Linked DNA regions of Danio rerio. The main gene of each other region encodes a partner of the protein of the gene in region 3 in a complex. Links are inferred from orthologs where the notes say so. Each region holds a gene or a part of one and is shown on either strand. Other genes may lie near its edges.

What was found. Proteins that work in one complex are often made in the same cells at the same time.
Region 1: sf3b2 (region 3) and rbm48 share a complex: the UniProt entries of both Homo sapiens proteins name them as parts of the minor spliceosome. The link is inferred for Danio rerio from reciprocal best matches to the Homo sapiens genes SF3B2 and RBM48.
Region 2: sf3b2 (region 3) and snrpg share a complex: the UniProt entries of both Homo sapiens proteins name them as parts of the minor spliceosome. The link is inferred for Danio rerio from reciprocal best matches to the Homo sapiens genes SF3B2 and SNRPG.

Annotation. Positions count from the first base shown.
Region 1 is NC_133194.1:42,804,630-42,808,389, reverse strand, and holds the start of rbm48 (RNA-binding protein 48), read right to left. Parts: upstream 2,517-3,760; 5' UTR 2,440-2,516; coding exon 2,314-2,439; intron 2,178-2,313; coding exon 1,987-2,177; intron 135-1,986; coding exon 1-134. UniProt on the Homo sapiens protein: As a component of the minor spliceosome, involved in the splicing of U12-type introns in pre-mRNAs.
Region 2 is NC_133198.1:36,914,672-36,918,431, reverse strand, and holds the start of snrpg (small nuclear ribonucleoprotein G), read right to left. Parts: upstream 2,166-3,760; 5' UTR 2,049-2,165; coding exon 2,017-2,048; intron 1,782-2,016; coding exon 1,759-1,781; intron 1-1,758. UniProt on the Homo sapiens protein: Plays a role in pre-mRNA splicing as a core component of the spliceosomal U1, U2, U4 and U5 small nuclear ribonucleoproteins (snRNPs), the building blocks of the spliceosome.
Region 3 is NC_133182.1:6,516,704-6,520,363, forward strand, and holds part of sf3b2 (splicing factor 3B subunit 2), read left to right. Parts: intron 1-2,629; coding exon 2,630-2,718; intron 2,719-2,795; coding exon 2,796-2,987; intron 2,988-3,660. UniProt on the Homo sapiens protein: Component of the 17S U2 SnRNP complex of the spliceosome, a large ribonucleoprotein complex that removes introns from transcribed pre-mRNAs.

The sequences.
Region 1 (3,760 bases), on a different chromosome or scaffold from region 3:
TTGCCCAGTTAACATATCTCCTTCTGTCTTGTAATTTCTGCTTTGTTTCCTCCACGGTTTCATACTCAGGAGCATAGCAGACATGCAGCTGACCCCCGAAGAAGCTCTTTTCATCTGTGTGCCTTTTAGCTGCCCTGTAAAAAAATAAATTAATTAATTAATTTAAAAAAAAAAAAAAATTATATATATATATATATATATATATATATATATATATATATATATATATATATATATATATATATATATATATATATAGCATGGCAATATCCACTCACTGGCCATTTTGCTAGGTACACCTGTCCAACTGCTCGTAAACACCAATTTCTATGCAGCCAATTACATGAAAGCAACTCAATTCATTTATGCATGTACATGGTCGAGACAATCTGCTCCAGTTCAAACATGAAAGCATGGATCCATCCTATCTGCTCAATGACATGCTATCATGTCAATATGGACCAAAATTAATGAGGAATATTTCCAGCTCCTTGTTAAATCCATGCCAGAAAGGATAAAAGCAGTTCTGAGGTCAAACCCGGTACTAGTAAGGTGTACCTAATAAAGTGGCCGGTGAGTGGATGTCATTCAGTGTAACAATAGTTTATAAGAAAAACAATTTTTGTCAGGCATATTTTTAAAAATCCCAGTACAGCTATTTTTACTTTGACACTATCCTAAAAATATATAGTTTTATTAAAATATAATTAAAATAACTACGATTACTTAATTCCATATATTTGAAATAATTATTCTTTGATTTTTGCTTTGGTTTAGAGGGGAAAAAATATGTAAAAAAGTATTTATAGAATTATCAGCAATAAATACTCTTTATAATATTCTTAAAATGTTTAATGGCAGTAAAGAGATTTACAGTGTTATTAAAGAGAAAGAGACACTAAAGAACATTAAAGAATCTTGAACAAAAAAAAAAAAAACCCTTAGATGTTTTGGATGTTAAGTTGTGCAACTTTACAACATTGATAATAATTAGAAATTATATACTGCACAACAAATCAGCAAATTAATTATTTCCGAAGAGTCATGTGACAATAACCATGTATAAATGCGAGTACCAAGCATGAAAATTACCCTTCATCCTCAACACAATACATTACACTTTTAAACAAGATAGAAAATGTGACAATGTAATAATACATCCGATTGTTGATGCTTTGTTTTTAGTTAAAAAAATATTAGCTGACTTGGTGAGCATAAGATGCTTCTTTCAAAATCATTTTCAAAATGGAAGACTCCAAACAATTGTATGGTAGTGTGTGTACTGTATATAGTTTTCTATATGTGTTTATTTAATATTTTAATAATGAATCATAATGTTTTAAGTCACATTTTGTGGAACCTACAAAGACAGTTCACTCCAAAATAAAAATAGACATCATTTACTCACCCGTTACATGTCACAAACATCGTCTGAGCTGAACACAAACGATATTTTAAAGAAAGCTTGAAGCCGGTAACCATTGACTTCAATACTATTTATTTGTCCTACTATGCAAGTTGATGGTTACTGGATTCCAGATTTCAAAATATCTTCCTTTGTGTTTCAAACCACTTGAGGGTGAATAAATTGTTATTGTTACAGTATTTGAGTCAACTATCCCTTTAACTAAAAGTGAATGCGACTCTGCAGTGCACCAACATGGTACATTGAGGTAAGGATGGTTTTAGATTCACACATTCTTTCAATGACAACTTGTGACATGCTCCCTATATTGTTTACCATGGTACTTTTAATATTGGGTTTGAAATCACATGCAAGTATGACTTCAAATCAGCATTACCACTATTTATTTGACTGTGAACAATGTTGAACTTTGATAGTCACTAGCTGCTAATTTGATTCACTATTAAGAATATGCAAAGAATACTTTTCTGAAATTATATCATCAACAAGAAAAATATGGCACAATATATAATATATGGCACAGACTCGCATGGGACATGATTTAATCAGCCTTTTCTTACCGTGCACTCGTCAACTTCTGGAACTGAATTAAGTAAACCTCAGTGAACTCTTCTGCTGGGTATTCATCCAGTGGCCTGTACTCCTCGATCACTCCATACAGAGCAAACAGCTGCACCAGCTCAGCCATCACTCCAATAGCGGGCACTCCTTGAACTAGTAAATACCGAGACTCCAGGTTGATGGTGTACACCTAAAATTAGCGATTCAGCCATTATTTTTATAAGCAGAGATTCAGTTCTTGTGAGAGAGACCTTAAAGACAACATGACTGCTTACATTGACGCTGCACAATTCGATGAGATAAAGGCATTTATAAAATAAACCGACCTTAACAGCTTTGAGGCGTCTTCCTTCTCTGTATTTTGGTCGCGTTTGGGCAACATTTTGCTGCTCGTGATGTTTATACACTTTTTGTGTGTCCCACACAGAGGAACTAGCAACTGACCCGTCCATCACTGTGGAAATCAGCGACGAAAAAAAACAGGCTTTCAAAATAAAAGTTCCAATTAGAAAAAATAAATAAAAGCCCGCTTTCCCAAAAGGATGCTAATAAAAATAATATTAAGAAGAATAATGATGATGGTGATAAAAAAATATTATAATGATAATGACGATGATAATTATAATAATAATTCATTTACACATCCAAATTATGATAAACACTTCTAACAAAATAAAATAAATATCAAAAAGATTTGGACAAAAGTCAAAATTGTAAGATGCTAACTCGCAGAAAATGTCGCAACTATTATAAATGCAGACGAATTAATTATAAACTATATTATAAATTTATTTTAAGTTTTTAACGTTTAAAACAAGCTTCTTTTTTTACCCATTTAAAGGGTTAGTTCACTCAAAACCGAAAATTCTGTCATTATTTACTAGGTTGTTGACTTGTTCCAAACCATTTTGATTTACTTTCTTCTTAACACAAATTAGGATTTTTAAAAATACATATAATACAAAACTTCCATATAATTATTTTCAGCATTCTTCAAAACATCTCTTGTGTTCAGCAGAATAAAGAAACTCAGAAAAGCTTGGAACCACCTGAACCTCTGAGTAAATAGTGAGCCCATTTGATTTTTTGGGGTGAACTCAATATATTACTATAAATTACTAGTAGGCCTATTTAATGTGGGAGATCATTATAAAAATTATTAGAAAATTAAGCAAATATATACTATTCAGTTGCTGGAGTAAAAGATTAACAGTGTTTTACATTTATTAAATGTAAAAAGATTTGTACATTACATTGATATAATGATGTAGGCTATTAGCCTATCCTGTACATTAGCTATATTTCATTCATTATGCATCCATTAAATAAATTAAACCTGTCCAAATTAGATCGTTTAAAATGTTTGAGCAAACGAGAATCTGCTATGTTGACTTTGTCAGATAAATAATGACTGATCATCTATGATGACTGATGGAAAACTGTTCAGTGTATTATATTGAATGGTGATTATTCCCCATTCGCCCGTCTTGATCGCTATATTTGTGAAATGGTATGCCTATGCATTATTGTTTACAGTGTTTGCCTATACAATACATATTAACAATAACCTTATGTGTAAAATATATTGATGATGTCCGAGAAGAGGTTAATAACATTAACACCCGTCTAACTTAGATCGTGTGTGCCTGAAACGTGTGTATATCTGCAGCTGGATAAGTTTTAACCCCAAAACACACACATATTAAATAAATGAATAACGTATACATACATTTTGCGGGGCTACTCATATTTCATTTAATAAATATTAATACT
Region 2 (3,760 bases), on a different chromosome or scaffold from region 3:
GTATTAGCGCCGTTTAATGCGGCGTTTTAATTGTAAACGCGATTGATTAATAGTGTTTTTATGAGCTCTTGGGCTTGCCATAAGATGATGATGTGCGCGCGCGGGACTTGTTTTCTCGCGCTGGATCAGTTGAGCGCGCGCGTGAAGATCCCCTGTGCGCTTGCAGCTGTAGTTTTCTCGCGTGTCTGTAATCTGCTCACGGTTCACTTCTCCTCGCGCGCAAACATCACCGCTGCGCTCGATTTATATTGGCATTGATTTGCCGACATAAGACGAGTCGGACATGATATTTAAGATCCCACATGAAATTTAAGACCTCCTTATGGAAAATTACAGAATTCAAGACATTTTCAGACCTTAAAAATCGAAAATTTTATTTAAGACATTTTAAGACTTTTTAAGGACCCGCGGGGACCCTGTAAAATACATCATTGAACGTTTTTATTGAAATAATATTAATATATATTAGAGCTGCACAATATATCACTTCTTGAGCAATGATATTGAAATGTGTGCATCTGCATTAGTTACATCGCAAGATAGGCGATAGTTAGGATTATAGATGACCACCAGAAACCACTAGTCAAAACACACAAGATTTGTGGAGACACTGCAGAATTTAAGCACAATAGAGTGAAAGTTTATCATCACTTTAAGGCATGTGGCTGAGCATTTGAAGAGAGTTTAAAACATTAGTAGTGCATGAAAATGTTTAATAAAGATTAATTTTATTAAAATTTGTGTATGGTGAAGACTACACAGTGCTATTTTACATTTGATTATTCGATTTCAGTACCTGAATCAGGGTTTCTGCAGGTTATACAGTTAAATTTAATTGTTTATAAAACCTTTATTAATTACATTTTAGACCCATAAAGTGCTAAAAGCTAAGGAATTTTTCAAATAGCCCTGATGGAAAAGATTTTTATTTGCCCTATCAAAAACATTATTATATTTTAATACATTTAATAATACAATAATAATAAAAAAATATATATATTTCCGATTTTATTTCTTAGCAAAATATTGTGTAAAAACAAGCAAGCTCTAATTGTATCTATACACTTTTTTCCTCAACATAAACTTTCTTTAAAATAAAAAAAAGAACAAATATTTTAAAACTTTTAAAAACTACAATAAACTAAATCTATGCACAACAATCTCTCCTGTTCAGTGTCCTCAGTAGTAAATACATGGAGAACTTTTAAACACATGTTATTGTATGGAAAATAATTAAACCATTATGGTAAATAGATTAAAAATTACCTTTTTAAATAAAAAGTTTAAGGTTTTGTTGAGAGGATTGTTGGTGATTGTATGGGTGTTAATGGCCAGACTGGGTAGCAACACATGACTTTAAAAAAAAAAAAAAAGAATCAAGACCTACACAATACAATATTTCAGTCAAATTAATACTTTTTAATGGCCAAATTTTGGATTTTGACATTTAAGACACTGTGGAAACCCAACTGAGTACTGTTAGACTCTCAAGAAACCCATTAAGGACGGTTTATTTCACTTTAATAATTACGTTACCCAATTGTGTGTGTGACTAGTTTGTATAAGAAACTACATTAAAATGTATATTTAAATTTCACTCCCCTACAAAACCACTTTTCAAATATTTAATTACTTAATTACAAAAAAGAAAATATCGCAATGTATAGTTTTTTCAATATCGTGCAGCCCTAATATTGAGCTATAATTCATATTTTAACTGGAAAGAGAAACATCTAACGTTATTAAAAGATTACTCACGTGAAAGCTTCTTGTCCATAAACCTAAGAGGGGAAAAGGCACTTTCTTAATTCACAATAGATACACCACCAAACTGAAAGCTAACTCATATAAAATATATCAAAATGGATTAGCAATATAAGTTATGCTTGATGTGAAAATAAAGTAATTTAGCCGTTAAACTGAACACACACCGGCTAACGTTAATAAGTTGCCCATGTTAAATACTTCTTAATATCAAATTTCTAAAAAACTCAAGAAAATACTTGAAATACTTACTTTTTCAGCTCGGGTGGATGTGCTTTGCTCATGTTTATTTAGTGAGATATGCTAGTTTTGTCAAACAAATACGTTTGAATCACGTTTCAAGCGTTGTTCGGAGAATGAGTGAAATGCAGGAAGTGACGTTTTGGGTCGCGGGATTTTTCCCTTGTACTAGCACCATTGAGTAATATTGCCCTCTACTCCGGCGGATGATGAACTACAACAACAACAACATATCGACAAGGTCGCTGGTTCGAGTCTCGGACTCTCGGCTGGGTCAGTTGACATTTCTCTGAGGAATTTGCAAGTTCTCCCCGTGTTCGAGTGGGTGTCCTCCGGTTTCCCTCACAGTCCGAAGACATGTGCTATAGGTGAACTGAATAAACTAAATTGTCTATAGTGTATGAGTGTTTCCCAGTACTGGGTTGCAGCTGGAAGGGCATCTGCTGTGTAAAGCATATGTTGTATAAGTTGGTGGTTCATTCTGCTGTGGCGACCCCTGATGAATAAAGGGACTAAGCCAAAAAGAAAATGAATGAATATTATACAGGCCCATAGCCAGCCTGGTAAAAGGGGTGGTTCTTTTTTCTAAGTAAGTTTACCTTTTTGCAGGTATTTGCCTCATTTTCTATTTAATTATTAGATATACTGCATTTTAGTGATATTTTAAGCACTATCTTTAGCTGAATTAACCTGTCGAATAGTCATCATAACCACAATTTTGATGAATCAAAATATTTCCTAAAATTTTGGAATAAAGAAAAATAAATAAATACATATTTTTAAAAAACAAATGTTACAGCCAATATTAATTAAAAAAAAGGAATCTATTAATGTTTAAATTAAAAACTGTAGCCTATTATAGCGACATTTATTGGGCAAACAACAACTTGGCCAGCTCATTCAACTGTCCTCAGTTAGAATTTGCCCATTTGAATACATATTATTATTAATAATCAAAGGTTCAAAACTGATAAGCTGAAGTCACACCGCAGCAACAGCCAACAGAGGATTACAATTGGTTTTAAGACCCTTTTTGCTTAGTTATTTTTACAATTTATGAAGCATAGCAATTATAATGAGACAAACAAGCTCATATATGGAACAAATGTTGGACCTTTGTTAGTGAGGGGTAGGTCTTTCGAACCCCTCAAAGCCTATTGAGGTAAAGTTAATTTTTATATTCGCACATTCACACTTTCTCCTTAATAATATAATTTCAGAGAAGTATTCACTGCAAATTCTAAATAGTGAAATCATATTAGCAGCCATCAACCATCAAAGTGCAACATTGTTGACAGTCAATTTAATATTGGTAATGTTGCTTTAAAGTCATATTTACATCTGATTTCAGTCCGAAAATTCAAAGTACCACGGTAAACAATATATGGAGCTGTCACTGAACGAATGTGCGAACTTTACCTTAATCCAACCCAACCCCCCGGCTTAGGGCCTGTTATAAATCCAAAACTTACAAGAATATTTTAACCAATTTATTCAAAAATAATTTCAACGTACATAGTAACATGAGGTAAATTTTCTGACAAACATTAGTCAAAAAAAAAAATCAAAAAAAAAATCACACATTTTGGGACAAAGCAGGTGATACTTGAGGTAGCCGCAAGTAAACACAGCCAGAGATTAATGCACAGCTAAACTGAAACATCTATATTCACAATAGAAAAATGAGGTACATTCACTCATCTCATACAATGTGAGCCATAAAGGTACATTTAATACAGTGTTCAAGGACAAAAAG
Region 3 (3,660 bases):
CGCCCATTAGTCACCATCTCTTTCTCATCAGCATAGGACTTTAGTCCTGTTTTTGAATCTACCACTATGCTGACACATGGGCATTTGTAGCTCCGCCCTCTTCAGAAAAAGAGCACAATCTCATTTGAATTTAAAGCGACAGTCACCAAAACGGCACAATATAATGCTCGGAATCTTCACATAAACACTAGGGACATTAGAGACTTATTTTGTAAAGAAGTGGCATAAATAGGTCTCCTTTAGTATTGATAATAACCATGTTTACAAGATGAGAGCACTTGAGTGCACTTCAAGCTTAATTACCCACAGGAGAGACAATGAATGTGCCGTTGAGACTCGCATTTGCAATCTGTGTGTGCATTCATGAAGTCAAAGTGAATGTAAAGGCTCTTCAGTTTGTAGCATCATTAAATAAAAAAAACGAGTGTAAGAATAATCCCAGATAGTTGAATGTGAACTTATACAGTGCTCAGCATAAATGAGTAACCCCCCCCCCCCCATTTCTCAGTAAATATATATGCACTTTTGGATGCATTGGTAACACTTTACAATAAGGTTGTGTCAGGTAATGCTTTTACTAACATGAACAAACAACGAACAATACATGTGTTAGTGTTCATTGTTCATTCATGTTAACCCACTATGTAATATTAATGTGAACGAGCACGAATGTGGATGTTAATAATGCATTAGTAGATGTTGAACTGTGGTTAATAAATGCTGTACACGTATCATTCATATTTTGTTCATGTTAGTAAATACATTCACTGATGAAACCTTAATGTAAAGTGTGACCGAATGTTTCATTTAACAGTTCAGTCCATTAAAATAATATAATGAAGATACTACATGTAAATTCAAATGAAAGTTATTATTACAAGAACAATTACAAACTGTTACGAAATGTTAAATGTTTCATTTATTTTGAGAGGGTGCTCGCTGCAGAGCCATTTGAGGAGAGCTGAGCTCCAGCGAGGGGGAGCATGAGCTGTCGCTCCTCCTCCTGTAAGCTGTTTTAATGCGTACACCAACCCTACCCCTAACCCTACCCCCAGTGACATCACTCGTAGAAGAAGTGCAAAAAAGGTGGAGCTCAAGCTTAAGCTCCCCCTCGCTGGAGCTCAGCTCTCATCAAATGGCTCTGCAGCGAGCACCACTTGTTTATTTTCCCCAACATATTCATTTGTGTGCTGTAGGGATGGTAGACAGCTTAAACCCAAAGAATGAGCAGTCTGTCAGATGAAGAAGAGCCGGAGTCAGAGATTTAAATAAATAAATCAAGTTTACTGAAGATAGTTTGCAGTTTCATCAGCAGAAGCCAGCTTCAACACTCCAATGAGTTCCTAGGCCGCTCTGCTTAAAATCACCAATCAATAACAATTATATTCTCAAATAAGGCAATTAACTGCGTCACACATATAGGTGCTCTAACCTGATTGGTTAAAACACAGATAGACTTGGAAAATTTTCATGTGGCATTAAGCGTAAACGTCAGACATCCACTAGACCAGTGGTTCTCAATCTTTTTTCATCAAGTACCACCTCAGAAAAAAATTGTCCCTCCAAGTACCACCATATGACCAGTATTGAAATACAGTAGTGTAGTAGGCCTAATTAAGCAGCTACAACTCTGCACAGTTTAAAAACGTGGCAGATGAATTACTATAATTAATAATATTTATTATTTAAACCTTGTAAATAGTTTGAACGTTAACACTGCTGTGCTGATATGTAAAAAAACAAACAAACAAAATAACATGGCAACGTTTAAATTAAAATTAGCTTTTAAAAGTTCGTAAAAAGTGAAAAAAAAAACTCCTGTACTTAAATGGAAAGTGTAAACCTATAATATCCTATTCATCAAAGCCTGGAAATGCTGCTTGGACCTCATAAATATAGGCTATATGTCATCATGTTTATATATGAACCATTTTTGATCATTTTGAAATATATGTTGCATGTACAAATGACTATTGGATTACTCTGCGTACCACTAGAAGGCAGCCCACGTACCACTAGTGGTACACGTACCACAGTTTGAGAACCACTGCACTAGACTGATTAGAGCTGACTCCAGACCTGTGAAACGGATCAACAATCAAGTAGAGCACACACACTTAAAGTACAATCTGTTTGAAAAGTACATCCTGAGTGAAAATATGCTGAATGAGAGTGAACTGCTGAACTGCACTTAAAGTCTAAAGATTAAAAATGAAACGCCTGAAATTACATGAAACTCTGGAGGAAGCGCATGATAGCCTGGTGATGCCAAATTAAATGTTTTATACTGAAACTTTCCTTCTAAAAGTGCTTCCTTGGTCTTATCCAAATTTCTTAGCACGTTAAACGCACGTCGGCCACAAAAAGAAATTAAAAAACTGCAACTGCGTTAATTTTTTTAACGCGTTAAACCAATCACGTGCGTTAACGCACTAATTTTGACAGCCCTAGTTTTGACAATTATTTTATCCAAAAGTCAATATTTATATTTGAAATATGAAATGGAGATGGGTTGAATTCTCTCTGGGTCTGGACTTAGAGAAGTGCTCATATGTAGGCTGTATAAACTCTGTAAATAATCAAACTGTCTCATGATTAAGTTTCTGTCTTTTGTCTCCTGTTATTTCAGAGGATGATGATGATGATGATCTCGCGGAGCTGACTAATATTCACGGATATTCAGATGAAGATGACGAAAACAGTCTGTCTAAAAAAGACGTGAGCTTTACTCTCCGTCATCCATCCAGGTTGCTCTCCTGATCACTTGTGCTGAATTTGTTCTTGTGTACTTGCAGAAAAACCGTAAGCGCAGGAACAGGAAGAAGAAGAAGAAGAAGAAGCAGCGTGAGCAGGAGAAGGAGCAGCAGGACGAGGAGAAGAAGAAAGATGAGAAGGAGCCGGAGGTGGAGATCGAGTACGTGACAGAGGAGCCGGCCATCTATGACCCCAACTTCATCTTCTTCAAGAGGATCTTCGAGGCGTTTAAGGTCAGAAACTGCTTTCATTTAAAAGGTCACGATCCACACTCGTTAAATAATTACTTTATTTCTTTATTTTTTTTTTACAGATTAAGGTTTTTCGATTTTGAGGGAAATCATATTTTGACGACTTTGTGTTTTCTCCATTGTCAATGCTATTTGTTAAATTAGTTAGATTTTATTACACGAGCTGGATTCACTGGTCAGAATGGTGGGAAATCATAAGCATGAATATTTTGGTCGTGATTAAAATCTTGATTATTTAAAATGATTATTATTGAATAACTTTCCCAGAGATGGGTTGCGGCTGGAAGGGCATCCGCTGCGTAAAAAACGTGCTGGATAAGTTGACGGTTCATTCCGCTGTGGCGACCCCGGATTAATAAAGGGACTAAGCCGAAAAGAAAAGGAATGAATTATTGTATAACTAGTTACAATTATTAAATTACAGTAGAATAAAAATATACAAATGAAACAAACTGCTTTAAGCATCTTCACTGTAATTAAATTGATTTGTTTACTTATTTAAAATTAGCTAAAATGACAAATGTCTGGGACAATTTGTTTTGTGTTCAATCTACCTAAATTTGAACTTAAAAGTTAACACCAATAACTTTTTGGAAATCTTGCCCACTATAATAACTTTTTGGACACATGGTGCACTGTAACGCCTTTTTTGATA